Linked DNA regions of Lonchura striata. The protein of the gene in region 1 purifies or fractionates together with the protein of each later gene. This does not show direct contact. Links are inferred from orthologs where the notes say so. Each region holds a gene or a part of one and is shown in the gene's direction. Other genes may lie near its edges. The genes, in order: CDC42BPB and FAM167A.

Region 1 (7,097 bases):
CAGTAGCTACATGGACCTTGTGTCTTCAGTTCTGCAGATCTACAATGATTCCAGAAAACTGAGAACCTGTTCACTTGCCAAAAAAAAACCCAAAAAACTAAACAAACAAACAAAACCCTTAAAAAATTTAAAATCAGATCTGTTCCAGAAAAACTGGGCTGTATTTTTCCACTTAAATATGCCACAGGAAAAAGGAACTGGTAAGATGGATAATTTAATTCATTTTAGCCAGATCACATTTATTTTTAGCCTATGGAATTGGCACAGATGAGTAACAGAAGCAGAATACCTTCAGCTACATTTCCAAGTTTATGTACAATTCCTAGTAGGAATATCAAATGCCACCTTTGAGCTCAGTAGTTTTCTGTAGCTGAAACCCTTGCTATGAAAACCCAGAATTATTTACAATGCACACGGCTTTCAACTCTTCGCAAGGTTTTTTTAAAACAAAATTTCAACTAATTGTGGAATACCAATAGCATCACTCATAAATAATCCTGCACGTGCTGGTCTGCTGTACTAAAGCTTCCATAGCTGTTAAAGCTGGATTCAATATCATCTGTCACCCATCTGTCGTTCTCCCAGCACTGGAGCCGGTTCTTCCCTGCTACTGGTGCCAGTCAGGAATAGCTCCCGGAACCCCTGAATTCTGCTAATGCAAAACAGAGTGAGGAGACTGGAAACAACAGAGCGATCTGTAGGTAGAGATGGCGATTTCTTCTCCAGCTGTAGTCTCCTTTATCTCTTCCTTGCTAAAGGAGGTGATGATAATCACCACCTGCGGGAACAGATAAGAAGGGCTAAGATAGATATTGTAACAAGATCTTTAAAACTCTGTTCTCGCTGGCCATTACTCTGATCAACTGCGTGAAAATTACTCTCCAAAGTGGTAAGAAGCTGAAAATGTTAGGCTCTCCTTTTAAATAAAACGACAGCACCAGAAGAACAATTGTGATTGCTGAAACACCAAGGCTTCTCTAAATGAATGTATCTGTGATACGACACAGTATGAGGTCAGATGAAGGAACTGTAACCAAGGAGGAACACCTCGAGAGAACAATGAAACCTTCGAGATCTGCTGCAAAATATTTTTTTTCAAGTGGATGTTTGCAGAAAGAAGTACAAAGAGATAGAAGTTATTCAGGAAAAACAAAACTATTTTAGTCTACTGTGGGTTTTCATTATTTTAAAATGATGGGTTCTCTGTGTGATTCATAGGATCTTCTATCAACTTGCATTTTTTCGAATTAACAGGTCTCTACACGCCTGTATCTTCTTGACCCGGGTACTAGGTCCAAATGCACAGGATGGGATTATTATGAACTGAACTGCTGTCAAAGAGATATCAAACATGCCTGAGGGCCAAGGGATCCTAGAAACAGGTATTTCTGTAATCAGCTGCTGGCCCTCTGTGTCCCATGGTCTGCTCCACAATAAATATCCATGGCTCCGCCTGGGAGTGCTCCAGACCCTTGGGAAAGGGCAGCTCCCGTGTGCAGCCCTGCTTGGGTTTGGCCTCGCCGTTGGCCCTGGAGGTGGCAGATGGGAACGTTCAGGTCTTTCAGCAGTGGCTGACATGTCACGTCTGACCATGAGCAAAGCCCAGTCTGGCTCCTGCTGCTGGGGGCAGGGTGTTCCCAGCCCAGACAGAACCAGCGCTCGGCTGCCTCCTTTCCAGTGCCATGGTTTTGAACGCACAGCACTTCAACTACCTGCCGGGGGAGACAGGCAAGGAAACAGCATCCTAGCCAGTTCGACTTTGCATCAGGACCTGACTGGCTGCATTCCTGCAGAAGTGAACTCCCATCCCAAGCTACTCAGCATCTTGCCTTGAGGTGCTGCAGCTTCCAGAGAGAACAGTTCTCAGAATAAGCTGTGATGGGAAAAAAAGCAGTGCTGAGGAAAGGTTTGAGTGCCTTACACCCAGCTCCCTTCTCCTTCAAGGGATCAAGACAGCAGCTGTGAACACGCAGGGCTCTTTTGCCCAGGCTAGCTGCTGCTGAGAAATAAAGTCCTGTCACCAGGGAGGTTCTAAAAGGTATAAAAAGCCACAGCTTCCAGACACCATGTCCTGCTGCAAAGCCATGCCTGCTCCATTGAGGCAAATCACAGAGCAGGGAATCATGACAAAGGTTGGGAAAGAGAAGGTCCCACTCCAAATATGGTAGGAGAATTCTCCCAGTGGCCACAGCATCTGGTGAAGACTTGTGGGGATGGTGGCCTTGGGGTCACCACATCCTTCATGGGAACCTATGGCCTGGCATGGCCAGGTGTGGGGCTGGGTGGCTCGGGCAGGCTGCCCGGTCCCCAGGGCACCTGCCTGACCAGTGAGGAGGGGACTTTGCCCTGGAGCCAGGGATGGCAAAGGCCAGGGCACACACACTGTTGTCCATGAAATGGGAATCATATCTGGTGTGCAACAAGCCAAGAATTGCACACTCAAGAGAGACATTGATAATTTATTTCAGGGTTGTGCAAGCCTGGGTGCTCAGTGGTCTTGCACAAATGAAGCACAAGCCACCGGAGTTTCTGCACCATTATTCATAAACAAAAATCAGAGTTAGCAACTTACCAAGCTCAGCCCCTCTACTAAGATTGGTTAGTTATTTCCATACAAGTTACATAACCCCAGCTAACTTCTACACATGCTCAGAGAAAGTGTCTTCATCTTGGCAGGGATCTTTCTGACCTGTAGGTGTGATCTTTAGTATTACACTTAAGATAGTTCAGCAATAGGATACTTGGGCCTGGAGTATTTTCTGCAAGTTAGCAATGGAGCCCCTGGAGCAGGTCCAGCAGAAGATAGGAAGGATGACTGGGGGACTGGGGCATCACTATTATGAAGAAAGGCTGAGGGAGCAGGTCCTGTTCAGCCTCAAGAAAACACAAGTGAGAGGGGACCCCATCAATGTCTACAAGTATCTGAAAGGAGGGTGGCAAGAGGATGGAGCCAGGCTCTTCTTGGTGGTGCTGCGCAATAGGACAAGAGGCAATGGGCAGAAACTGATGCAGAGGAAGTTCCACCCGAGCTTGAGGAAGACCTTTACTGTGCAGTGACCATGCACGGAACAGGTTGCCCAGAGAGGGCTGGGAGTCTCCCTCACTGGAGACATCCAAGAGCCATCTGGATGCCATCCTGTGCTGTGTCCTCTGGGGTGACACTGCTCAAGTGGGGAGGTTGGACAAGACCCCGCTGTGTCCCAGACCCACTCAGAGAGTCTGTGATTCTGTGCACAGAGACAGACACCAGCATCGCCATGTGCTGCGTGCCTGAAGCTCCTCAGCGCCAGCAGGTCCGTGCGGGAGGGATGCTGCCTGTCCCGCTGACTAGGGCTCCTTTGTCGTGCTGGAAAGGACACACAGATCTTAGCCAAAAGAACCTCCTGACTGGGGCTAACACACACACAGAGGCACAGGCACAGACCCACACACACACATATACAGAGAGGGTCACACACACACACACACACATACAGAGAGGGTCAGGCACACAGACCCACAGACACATACACACACATACAGAGAGGGTCAGGCACACAGACACAGACACATACACACACACATACAGAGAGGGTCAGGCACACAGACCCACAGACACAGACACACACACATACAGAGAGGGTCAGGCACACAGACACATACACACACATATACAGAGAGGGACAGACACACAGACACATACACACACACACATACACACACACACAGGGTCAGGCACACAGACCCACAGACACACCCACACAGAAACACGAAAGTGCCAGCGCGGACGTGCAGCCCACGCGGCCGCTCTCGCCCTCCGCGGCGAATCTGCCGCTACGGCGCGCCGCGCGGCCCAACCTTCCTGCGCGGCTTCGCGCGGCCCTGCCCACGTCGGAGCGCGCGGGCGCCGCGCGGGGGCGTGGCCGGAGGCGCTCCGAGGGACGCGCCGGGCCCGGGGAGGAGGAGCGGGATCGGCAGCGGGATCGGCCCTTCCCCGCCGCCGGGGCGAGGCCGCAGCGGAGCGGGGCGGGGGGTGGCCGGGTTCGGCCCATGGACCGTCCGTGCCCGACGCGGAGCCCGTGGAAGGAGCCGCTCGGCCGCGGGAGGCGGCGCGGGGCGGCCGAGAGCGGCTGAACCCCGGGGCCTTCGCTTCGCCCCGTCCCGTCCGTGCCCCGCGCCCGCCGCCCGAGCGGCACCATGTCGGCCAAGGTGCGGCTGAAGCGGCTGGAGCAGCTGGTGCTGGACGGGCCGCAGCGGAACGACAGCGTGCTGAGCGTGGAGACCCTGCTCGACCTCCTGGTCGGCGTCTACGCCGAGTGCAGCCGCGACTCGCCGCTCCGCCGCGACCGATACGTGTCCGACTTCCTCGAGTGGGGTGAGCCCGGGGCGGCCGCGGGCGGGGGCTGCGCGCGGTGCCCGGCGAGAGGCGGCGGGGCGGGGCGGCCCCGCACCGCGATCCCACCGCGATCCCACCGCGCTCCGGTGCGGCCGGAGACGCCGCCCCTGGATGCGGCGCCTCCCTGGGGAACACCCCCGCCGCCGGCCGGGCCTTGACCCTCCCGGTCTCCTCCCTCGGTCCCCGGCGAACCGCTTGGCAGCCGGCAGCAGGAGCACAGCGGAGTGTCCTTGGCCTGGAACCCTGCTCGGCTTAGCCCGAAACGTCAGGCTAATCCAGTGCTCCTCGGAGGGTTTCCTACCCGGGGGAGGGGAGGAGGGGAGAGCACCAGGCTCAGGCTTTGAAATGTTGCTCTGGTGCCGGCTCCTTGCTTTACAGAGGGCGTGTGTGTGTGGCTCGAAGAAACAACAGTTCCCGTTCATCATGCTGTCTTCTTTAATTTGGGCATGCCCCCCAAGGACAGAGTATTTCTAGGCAGCCTTTCTAAGAGCTTTGTTTAATGGTTCCCTACTGTTAAGCAGGCTGATAACGAGAGACCTCCAGTAGTCCGGAGCATACTGACAAAAGAAGATGTGGATACTTTTGATGGCACTTAGGATAAAAGTTTTACATCCAATGTTGGTTAGTTAAGGCTATTGACTAGAGGTATGTGGAGAGCAGAGATCCTTCCCTACTGCATGTCTAAACGAATTTATGTTAAAACGGCCATGGTGGCTGACTGGTTTATTCAGCTGAGTAAGTTATGAATAATAATGTATGACGAAGGTGACTTCTCCATGGAATAAGAATTGGAGGGGAGGGAAGAGTGATCATTGCTCACGAGAACGTTGCCCCGTTTATCAGCTGTTCCATGCATGTACAGTTAATTAGGCTTTAAAAGAGCACTCTTCAAAAAAATCAAAGAACAACAAAAAAAACGCCAACCAACAAAACAAAGGATTTCCTAAGGGAGAGGGAGGGGCAGATTTACTTCAGTAAATGCTAATGTGTGTCTTTAGCACTAGAGAGGACAGCACTAACATGAAGGGACAGCTGGTTCTCCTTAATTTCTGTGGGGACCACCACTCTTTGTCATACACTAACAAACTAAGAGGATTCACTTCCTGGACTCTTCTATTGACGTCAGTAATGCGATTGCCAACTGAATAATTAACCACTTTATCACATCTGCCCCGCAAGGCTGCAGCCTGGGGAACATTGATTATTTGTTTTGTCATGGAAGCTTTGTATGTCTTCAGCAAAGAGCATTCAGAGTTTTTTGTTTTCAAGCTGATGGCTTGAAGGAGTGAGCACCAGCAAATTGTTAAGTGTGATAGATCAGACTGCAGCATACTTTGAAAACTGAAGTTGGAAGGATTTGGGGCAGGCCAGAGAATGATATGCTTTTTCTATAGCGCTGCTGGTGGTTGTGTCTTACTGATTGATCCCAGCGTTGTCATTTTTTGTGTGATGGAGAGGCCGATTATCCAATTGTTTATAAAATCGCTTTTTTAATTCTATTTATTGTGTTCACTGAATGTGAAAAGGTTACTGACTTGATGAAAAGTATAGCTCGCAATAAAAACTGTGTAGGTTTTACTGCAGTGTGGGATTACTCTGGTATAACAAAGTGCCTATTCAATAAATAATTGAAATGTATGTGAGCTACCATCTGGTGCTGCAGAGTGGGGATAAAAGTTTATAATCCAGGCTCTTGATGGTAAGGGGGTGGACCTAAGTCTGGACTGTATATTTGTGTTCCATCAACAAGGGATACCCTTAAAACCAATTACAGTTGATACTGTGTGTTGCTTCCTTTCCTCCAAGCTGTTAAAAACAGCTAAGTGCCAGCAAGGAGACACCTTTTATCTGTGTCCTAATGCCCTCACAGTGTGTTTCCACTGACGAGGAACTTGTTTCTGCCTCCAGCTAATAAGGAAAATATCATGCCAAACATGCTCATCTTCCTTATGTCATGATGTGTCTTAATTAGAGACTGATTTGCTGTTAGGAGATATTCTGGATTAATGTGCACAAGTTTTCTGTGCTGTTATGTGTCTATAGAAGCATCAGAATGTAGTTAACTATTTGGGATATACTTTGAAGATCAGTGTTTCTTTATCAATTGGAGACAGAAGGAATTTCCTTTTGACAAGATGGTGACTTACCACTGGCAATGGAAATGAGCTGCATAGGTATTAAATTTGAATTAAGATGAGCTATGTAACAAACATTTTTTTAAAATTGGGTGTGAGGTATCACACATGTAAAATTCCCTTGAAATTATTCAATGTGGCTGATGGGCTTGCTTGCCTTCATAATTGGCTAGAGAAAATAAGAGTTCAGGTGTGGTAGTTGAGGCAGGATTTTTTTCTGGCTGTGGGATGCAGAGGAGGTTGATTCTGAGTTGTGTGGTGTAGTTGCTGGACATGGATATCTCTGCTTTCTGACAGAGCACAGTGCTGTTCATACTCTGTAGCTGGTGGACGCTGGAGAAATGAGGAGTCCAGAAAATAAAAGTCCCATGTTCATCTTGTGAAACTTAAGCTACCTCCTCTCTATTCAACATCTGCGGAAGCCGTGCACCTTACCTGTGGAGGCTGATAAACTCCAAATGGTGCATGCCATTGCTTCTGTCCTATTAATTCCTCTGCTGCTTCCTGGTAGTCCTGCCACAGGCTTAAATCTTCCTATTTGCTAACCATAGAAGAGCGCAGGGTGTGGTCCTTTGCCTTGGGGCAGT
Region 2 (7,786 bases), on another chromosome or scaffold:
AGTCTGAGATGGGCTTTTCTTACCTTTCCCTTCCTCACAAAACCTAGGATATAAATTGAGGGCAATCACAGCATTTTTAAAGACCCCTCCAGACCTGTAGGTTTTGGTGATGTAGCCTTACTGGGTGGACAGATAAGACTGGAGGAGGAATTTTTATTCACTATCATTTCTGGAATTAATTTACAACAAACATTTTGAGTGGAAGTGGAACTGAAATCCCTTTTTTACAGCAAAGAAGAGAAGTGGAAAAAGCATATATTAATCCTGAGATTTTAAAATGCTTTCTACTTTTATGGATTGCTGTAATGAATTGGGTTAGTAGGTTTATCAAAGGAAAGCCATTACAAATCAATCAGAATCTTTGGTAAGGGTCTTGATTTTATATGGAAATGGTTTCTAGTCCTTCAGATCTTGGGGAAATATTTTTGAGTTGAGGGAAGAATAATTCACTAACTCAGTGCACACACAAAGTTAATTATGCAATCACCACATGGATTTACTTTTACATTTGAATAAAAACAAATGGGCTGAAAACTCCCACCATGATTTTGGTAGGATTTCAGGAACAATTGTCCTCTGCTTTTTTCTTTGATGTTTGACTTACCTGGGAGAAACCTACAGAGAAAATAAAGTAGATACTCCAGGGAAGGATCCTGATCTACTGGAAGGTGTCCCTGCCCATGGCAAGGGACTGGAATTAGATGATCTTTAAGGTGCCTTCCAACCCAAACCATTCAATGATTCTCTGAAGACTGAACCAGACCAGTGCCAGTCCCTCAGTGATCCACGGAGGTGAGCAGCCAGGTGACCACAAGTGACCTCTGCTGCTCCTGGGGACACCAGGGGACAGCATCACCTGGGGACCTGCTGCCCTCTGGAGGTGCCTCTGCCGTGTCTCTGCCACATCTCCAGGTGATGCTCCAGGCATGCCCGAGGACTCTTCTGGTACCAGTCCCGGTGGAGGGCATGGAGGCTCCACCTGGCTAGGATGGAACGATGATGGTTGGGACCACCAGTCTTCCCTTCCCATCCTTGAAAGACCAAGGCCCAGGGAACTGTAAGATCACAGGATGGTTTGGGTTGGAAGGGACCTTAAAGATCATCCCATTCCACTCCCTGCCATGGGCAGGGGCACCTTCCACCATCCCAGGTTGCTCCAAGCTCTGTCTAACCCGGCCTTGGACACTTCCAGGGATGGAGCAGCCACAGCTTCTCTGGGCATCCTGTGCCAGGGCCTCTCCACCCTCACAGGGAAGAATTTCTTCCCAAAATCTCATCTAAAGACACTCTCTTCCAGTTTGAACCCTTTCCCCTTTGTCCTGTCACTCCATGTTCTTGTCCCAGCTTTCCTATATGTTCCTTTGGGTACTTCAGGAACTTTTCTTTACAGGGACTTTGCTTTAGGGGAAAAATATTTATTTAAGGACCAGCTGAGAAGAAAGCATTGATGCTTGTGCCGGATTCCAGCACCGGTCCCACAGAATGGCCACACAATCCTACCAGGAGATCCAGCTCCTCCATGCTTTGTTAGCAGGATACCTGCAGGGAGAAACCACCAAAATCCAGCAGAAAGGGCAAGAAGCAGAAGGTTCAACTCCAAACTGAGTTGAGCTGCTGCTGTTGTGGTAAAGGAATGGCCATTTCTGCCCATTTTGGGTGGTAAGAGGCAGCTCAAAAGGTCCAGGTAAGATTTAGGGGGTTCTAAGGCACCTTAGAGAGTTTGTGGTGCTCAGACCAGCACAGGGGATCCCAAGGAAGTCTGGTTGCCCTATCCCTGGAAGTGCCCAAGGCCAGGTTGGACAGGGCTTGGAGCAGCCTGGGACAGTGGAAGGTGTCCATGCCCATGGTAAGGGGTGGAATGAGAGGATCTTTAAGGTCCCTTCCAACCCAAACCCTTCCATGATTCTACAAACTACCACTACAGCAAGCAATTTCCAGCTTGGGCTTTGCAAAACCTCATCCCAGCAATAACTCAGGCTTGGATCCATGTGTTCCCGAGGATTCAGCAGTCCTCTGGAAAAGGTCCTGTGCCCAGGGATGCTGTGGGAGCTGGCAGTCCCTGGAGTTCTATGGGCAACAAAAAGGATTTCTTGTGTCTGAGGAAAAGAAAAAAATACTGAGCCATAGATGTGGACAGTGCTGGTGTTGCACAGGTTTATTTTGACTGATCACACCTAATTTCAGGTGTCCATTCCAGGTGGCTGGTGTTAGAGTATTTGCATCACCAGCGGGAGCACCACTCTTCTTCAGCAGCTCCCCACCAGTGTTTTTTTGGATGAACACAACTTATCCAAGACAAATCCAGGCCAAAAAACATTCAAACCCATGGACTGGCTTCAGAGGGATGTGGCTGCAGCCTTTCACTGCTATCTTATGGCAGCTCATTTGAAATCCATTAAGCAACCAAATTAAAAATAAACATTTACAGAAGAAGGAGCGGGTGACGGTGTGTGGTCTGTTCCTGCGAGGAGACAGGCAGACAGACAGACAGACAGACATCCAGCCTTGGGAGCAACACCTCTGCTGTAAACTCACCCTGCTAGACCTGGGCTCTGGCCGTGAGGCCGACTGACCCAGTCTGGCCACGTCCCTGTGATTCAACGCTCCTGGCTATCAAATCTGGGTGGCTGAATCCAAATCATTTGTCAGGAAGGGGCCCCAGTCTTGGTCATTCCCAAGCCATGTCCTGGGATTGCTCATCCCACACCAAAACCGGGCCAGGGGCTGTTTCACCCTGTGCCTGTCTGTCCCCTGGTGCTGCTTGGTTCATGGGCACAGAATCGGTTTTGATTTGGATGAGATGTTGCTGGAAACGTTGAACCTCTACGTGCTTGATGGACCAGGCTCTGCTCTGTGGGACCCAGCAACAGGAGAACAGGAATGGGCAGGAATGGATGCCCGGGAAGTTCCACCTGGACATGAGGATGAACTTTCCTGTGCAGTGACTGAGCACTGAACAGATTGTCCAGAGAGGGAGTGGAGTCTCTTTCAGTGGGGATATTCCAGAATTATCTGGACACAACCCTGTGCCCTGTGCTCCGGGATGGCCCTGCTGGAGCAGGGAGGCTGCACAGTTGATCTATTGTGACCTTCCAACGTGACTCCTCTTGGGATTCTGGGATTCCTGTTGCTGCTAAATGCTCCTGCAGGTCTTTGTCAGACAGTTTTGAAACAGCCAACAGCTCTTCCATCTCCTGTGGTGCCTCTCCATCATCATCAGCCTTCAGGTGCCTCCTTGCAGCACAGTGAAAGCTGATCACCAGGCTGAGTTTGCATATGCAGATCTGAAATCTGATAAAAATGGATGCTGGCAAAGCAAAAAAAAAAAAAAAAAAATTGAAAAAAATTTGCATTTTCATCAGAAATGTGAAAATGCTGCAGTTCATTCTGAATCTGCATTGCTGCATCCAGGGCACCCCCTTTCTCTGCCCTCCAGACTTCCAAACCCTGTTCAGGCACAGCCTCTAAATTACTGTGGGGTCTGGGGCACCCCTGGCACTCGAAGGGAGGTGGGAAATCCCAGCCCTTCCATGCTGGAGCTCAGGAAGGGGCTGTAAATCTCCCTGTTGCCCTCGGGGGGGAAAGGGGATGGATCAGGCAGGAAAAGGGAAGGGTGAAAAAAAAAAGGAATAAAAAGGCTTTGAGGGGTTTCTCTCACAAAAGCTGAATGTGGGAATGGAGGGAGGGGCCTGGGTGGTTCGGGGTCAAGGCTTAACCCTTCGCAGCACCAGCTTTGCAAAGGCGGGCGGTGGCTCTGAGCCCCCAGATGTGTGATGTGTGGGATGCTTTGGAGAGCGGCCCCCAGGCTTTGAGGGGTTAACCTCCAACTTCTGGCGAAAGAAGGAAAAAAGGAAGGAAATCCCTCTGTCTCCTGCCTTTGATTCTGGACCCCACTCAGCCGGCAGCCGGGGCGCTGCCTCTCTCAGTCCCTCCTCGGAGGCAGCTAAAATGGTTTCCAGCCCCGCTGGGGCAGCAACGGGAGCTTCCTCAGCACAAAATTCAGGCGCAGGCTGGTTCCCAAGCTGGTTTCTGCCCGGGGATGGATGGTACCAGCCTTGGAGCCCCGGGGCACCATCCTGGGGCTTCCCAGAGGTGCTGATGCATCCTGGCAAAATTCCCCTCGGCACACGTAGTGGGCAAGCTGTGGCACCTGGAAAACGTTATCCCAAAGCTCTCCTGAAGGCCAGAGGAGCCCGAACTCCTTGTGGGGCTGATATCCATGGAAAGAAACACGATCTGCATGGGGACACCAGCAGGTTGGTGTCGGGAAGAGCCGTAGATTCCTTCTGGAGCACAGCAGCCCTCGGGGCATCTCCTGCAAGCCTCGAGGGGACCTGCCCTCCACTGGACCGCTCCATCCCTGTTCTCCACGCCGAAAGCATCGCTGATCTTCCTCCCTCTCCTGGGTGCCGGAGGATGTTTAGGACCCGGGCGGTGCAGCTCCTCCCTTTCAGGTCTCTCCAGGGTTATTGCTTGGTGGGAGGTAGGTTCAGGGCTTGGTGGTATGAATGAAAGAGAGAGAGGAAATCGGCGCTGAAAAGCTCAAACTGGAATAGCTCGCCTGTCTCCAGGCAACAGCCCTGACGCAACGGCTGGAAAAAAAAAAAAAAAAAAAGAGTCCCCTAAATGAAAAAAAAAAAAAAAAAAAAAAAAACCCAACAACAAACCAACCACCACACGCACAGATTTCTGAAGCGAGACACAGAGCAGGAGGATGAGACAGACTCCGGGAGGCACTGGTGACACCGCTCTGCGAACACCAAGTTGGGGACCCGAGGTGGAAGGAGGGAGCCCAGATGTCCGTGCAATCCCCGCTCTGATTCCAGCCCCGGTGAGTTTGTTTCTGGTGGTGGCCTGGGGGGACAGAGCCACCCTGGGGACACCCGGCACGGGAGATGCCGGAGAGCTGCCCGGGGCTGGAGGGGACCCCGGCAAGGAGCTGGGGAGCAGCAGACAGGGGTGATGGGGACCCCAGCGAGCAGCACCGGGGTCTGGCGAGCTGGCTCTGCCGTGGCGGGGCTGGGGTTTGCACAGTGTCCCCCCAGCCGCAATCTCCTGCCTCGCCGACATTCCCTGGAAATGACCGCCACGGTGGCTCCCCATTGATCGGGAATGTCTGAATCCTCCTTTCCCATGATGTTTGTGGATTTTGCTCTCAGCCGGGAGCAGCGTGGAGCTTTTCACCCGCTCCAGGAGGATTTTCCTGCACAGGGTGAGATGTAACGGGGGAGAGGCTGCCCGGCTTTCGGGACAGTCACCTGTTGCTCCCTCTGCCCCCAGCCTGAGATGTGCAGGAGCCCTGGAAACCTTTCCAAACCTGGAAAGGTTTGTGGGGTTGTGCAGTGCAGACATGGTGGGATGAGCGTGGTGGCTTCGCAGGGCGTATCTACCTCGGGTTTTTGAACCAGGCACCGTGTGCTGAGCAGAGCAGGTTTCCACCTGCTCACGTCTGGCCCTCGCAGCTCACGTTTACACCGAGGAGAGGGGGGAAAAAAACCCAGGCAGAACTTCTTCAGAGCCCTTTATAACAGCTTGCGGCTAATTGTTAAAATAATAGCGCCAGCCCAGCACGAGTGTTTGTGCAAGCCCAGCCCCAGCGCCCCGGGGTGCTGCACACCAGGCAGCATCCCCATCCCACAGCCCGGACCGCTGACACCTCTCCCACCACGGGTACCTCTCCAAGGGACCCCCATCCCCGTTTTCCTGCAATGCACCCCCCGTTTTTCCACCATCCTGCGCCCTCCGGAGCTTCTCTACATCGGAGACCTCAGCGGAGGCGGGGGGAGGTGGGGATGGATGAAAACCAAGTTCCTGGCTTCCAGCGAGGAGCTGTGCCCAGCTGATTCCTCCGGCTTTGTCTGCTCGTCCCCGGGATCCGAGGAACTCCCCACTTTCCAGCGGGAACGAGCCTGTTTTGGCTGCTGTGGGTTTGCTCTGTGCCAGCCATCATTTCAGCACACGGGAGCTGCTGCTGGTTTTTGCATCCCGGCTTTTCTCTGCTTTCAAATGCCCATTAAATTCCCCCCATCCTTCATGGGGAGCTTGGTGGGGGGGAATCTGTTCACCACAAAAATCCACCAGGACGGGAAGAATCCGGCTTCTGCCGGGCTCTGGGCTTGCAGCAGCCCTGCAGCCATTAGGTGTTTGCAAAATGTAGCAGAGACACTGCAGGGAAAAAGAAAAAAAAATTAAAAATAATCAGCCTCAGAGCAGCGTAGCCCTTCTGGGGGGAGGGAGAGGAGGGTCTGTTTGCAACCGGCTGATCTTAAATGATATTAAATCCCACAGTGCAGCTCAGCACTGGGAGAAGACAGGTCTGAGGACAGAGGCTGGACGATCATGGTTTGGATAATTGGATGGGACAGGGGGCATGTAAAGGGGATTAGGGGGTCACCGAGGGGCTGACCCCACTCCTCTGATCATGTTAACTTGGAGCCTGGGGGTCTCCAGTGGGAGCTGGCTCTGGCGTTGTCCCTGCAGGGGCTGAGCTCAGTGCTGGGCAGATTTGAGCTCGACAAAACAAAACAAAAAGGTTAGGTTGTTTTTCTCTTTCTGAAAACACACCCTTGCATGCTGCATTTGGGGAAAAAAATAGCTCCCCGTACTAATCTCCTGGGAAGAGAGCATTTCTCAGCCTGCCCTGGCTCATTCCCAAGGAATCCCAGCCCTTTTCATTACCCTGGGCACACAGGCACAGAGGTCTCCCTGCCGAAATGCGGCCGTGCCTGGAGTGGCAGTAGGGGAAAAGGGGGAACAACCAGCTGTGCCATGCCACAGGTCCTTTGGGGGCATCTCTGGGAACAGGTTAGCTGTGCCACCCCTGAGATGAGCTCCAAAACCTGCTGGCAGCCTGGGGCAGTGCATGGAGAAGAAACCCTTGCACATAATCCGTGGCTCCACAGAGCTCAGAACACACCAAAGGTGGACAGAGTGACTTCACCAAGAGCCTGAAAACTTGCCTTTGCTTCTGCTCCTTAATCCTTTCCCTCCTAAAAGGAATCCTGCCTGGTTTGGGCTCATGGGTTGAAAGCATTGACCCCCGTTCATCTCCCCAGTTTGCAGCTACTTCCAGCTGACTGGAAGACTGGTTTGCTGGAATGCCAAATACTTCTTCATGCAGGATTTCCACACAAAGCCTGGAAATCTGCTGATCGAGGAGAGCCTAAGTGGTCTGAAAATGGAGCTGCAAGGCTCCATCCGAAGCAGGCAGCAGCCTCAGCCCTGCTCCCAGCTAGAAGCTGTGTGGAGGACGCAGGAGGGATGAGGTGCAGTCGGGCAGGAAGGTGCAGATGTGTTTACTGAAACAGGCTCTGACTCTGCCGGTGATGCTGGAAATCAGCCAGGGAGAAGTGCCTTGGGGCAGGGAGTGCAAACTGGTCCCCTCTAATCTCACAGACACAGAATGGTTTGGGCTGGGAGGGAGGTGCCTTCCATAAAACTCACCCACCTCCTGATATGGACAGGGACACCTTCCACCATCCCAGGTTGCTCCAAGCCCTGTCCAACCTGGCCTTGGACACTGCCAGGGCTGGGGCAGCCACCTCTGCATCCCTCCACTCCTCTGATGGATTCTCTGCAGCCCCCACTGCCCTCCCCTCCTCCCTTGCAGTGTTCAGGGCTCTTTCTGGAGGCCATTTGGGCAGAAGGGAGTGCTGGAGCAAACTCTCATCTTGTTCCAGGTGATATGTGAATGGAAAGCCCCTCTTTTTCCCTTTTCCCTGTTTTTCTGTGAATGTCATGTCCACATCTATGCCTAGTGCCCATTTTGGTCTCATCACTGCTGCCA

What was found.
Region 2: the proteins of CDC42BPB (region 1) and FAM167A purify together in Homo sapiens (co-immunoprecipitation; 3 studies listed by BioGRID and IntAct, counting the BioPlex papers as one, with this or other methods). This does not show direct contact. The link is inferred for Lonchura striata from reciprocal best matches to the Homo sapiens genes CDC42BPB and FAM167A.

What each region holds. Positions count from the first base shown.
Region 1 is NC_134608.1:10,474,631-10,481,727, forward strand, and holds the start of CDC42BPB (serine/threonine-protein kinase MRCK beta), read left to right. Parts: upstream 1-4,016; 5' UTR 4,017-4,176; coding exon 4,177-4,354; intron 4,355-7,097. UniProt on the Homo sapiens protein: Serine/threonine-protein kinase which is an important downstream effector of CDC42 and plays a role in the regulation of cytoskeleton reorganization and cell migration. Regulates actin cytoskeletal reorganization via phosphorylation of PPP1R12C and MYL9/MLC2.
Region 2 is NC_134605.1:110,776,752-110,784,537, forward strand, and holds the start of FAM167A (protein FAM167A), read left to right. Parts: upstream 1-4,635; 5' UTR 4,636-4,831; intron 4,832-7,786.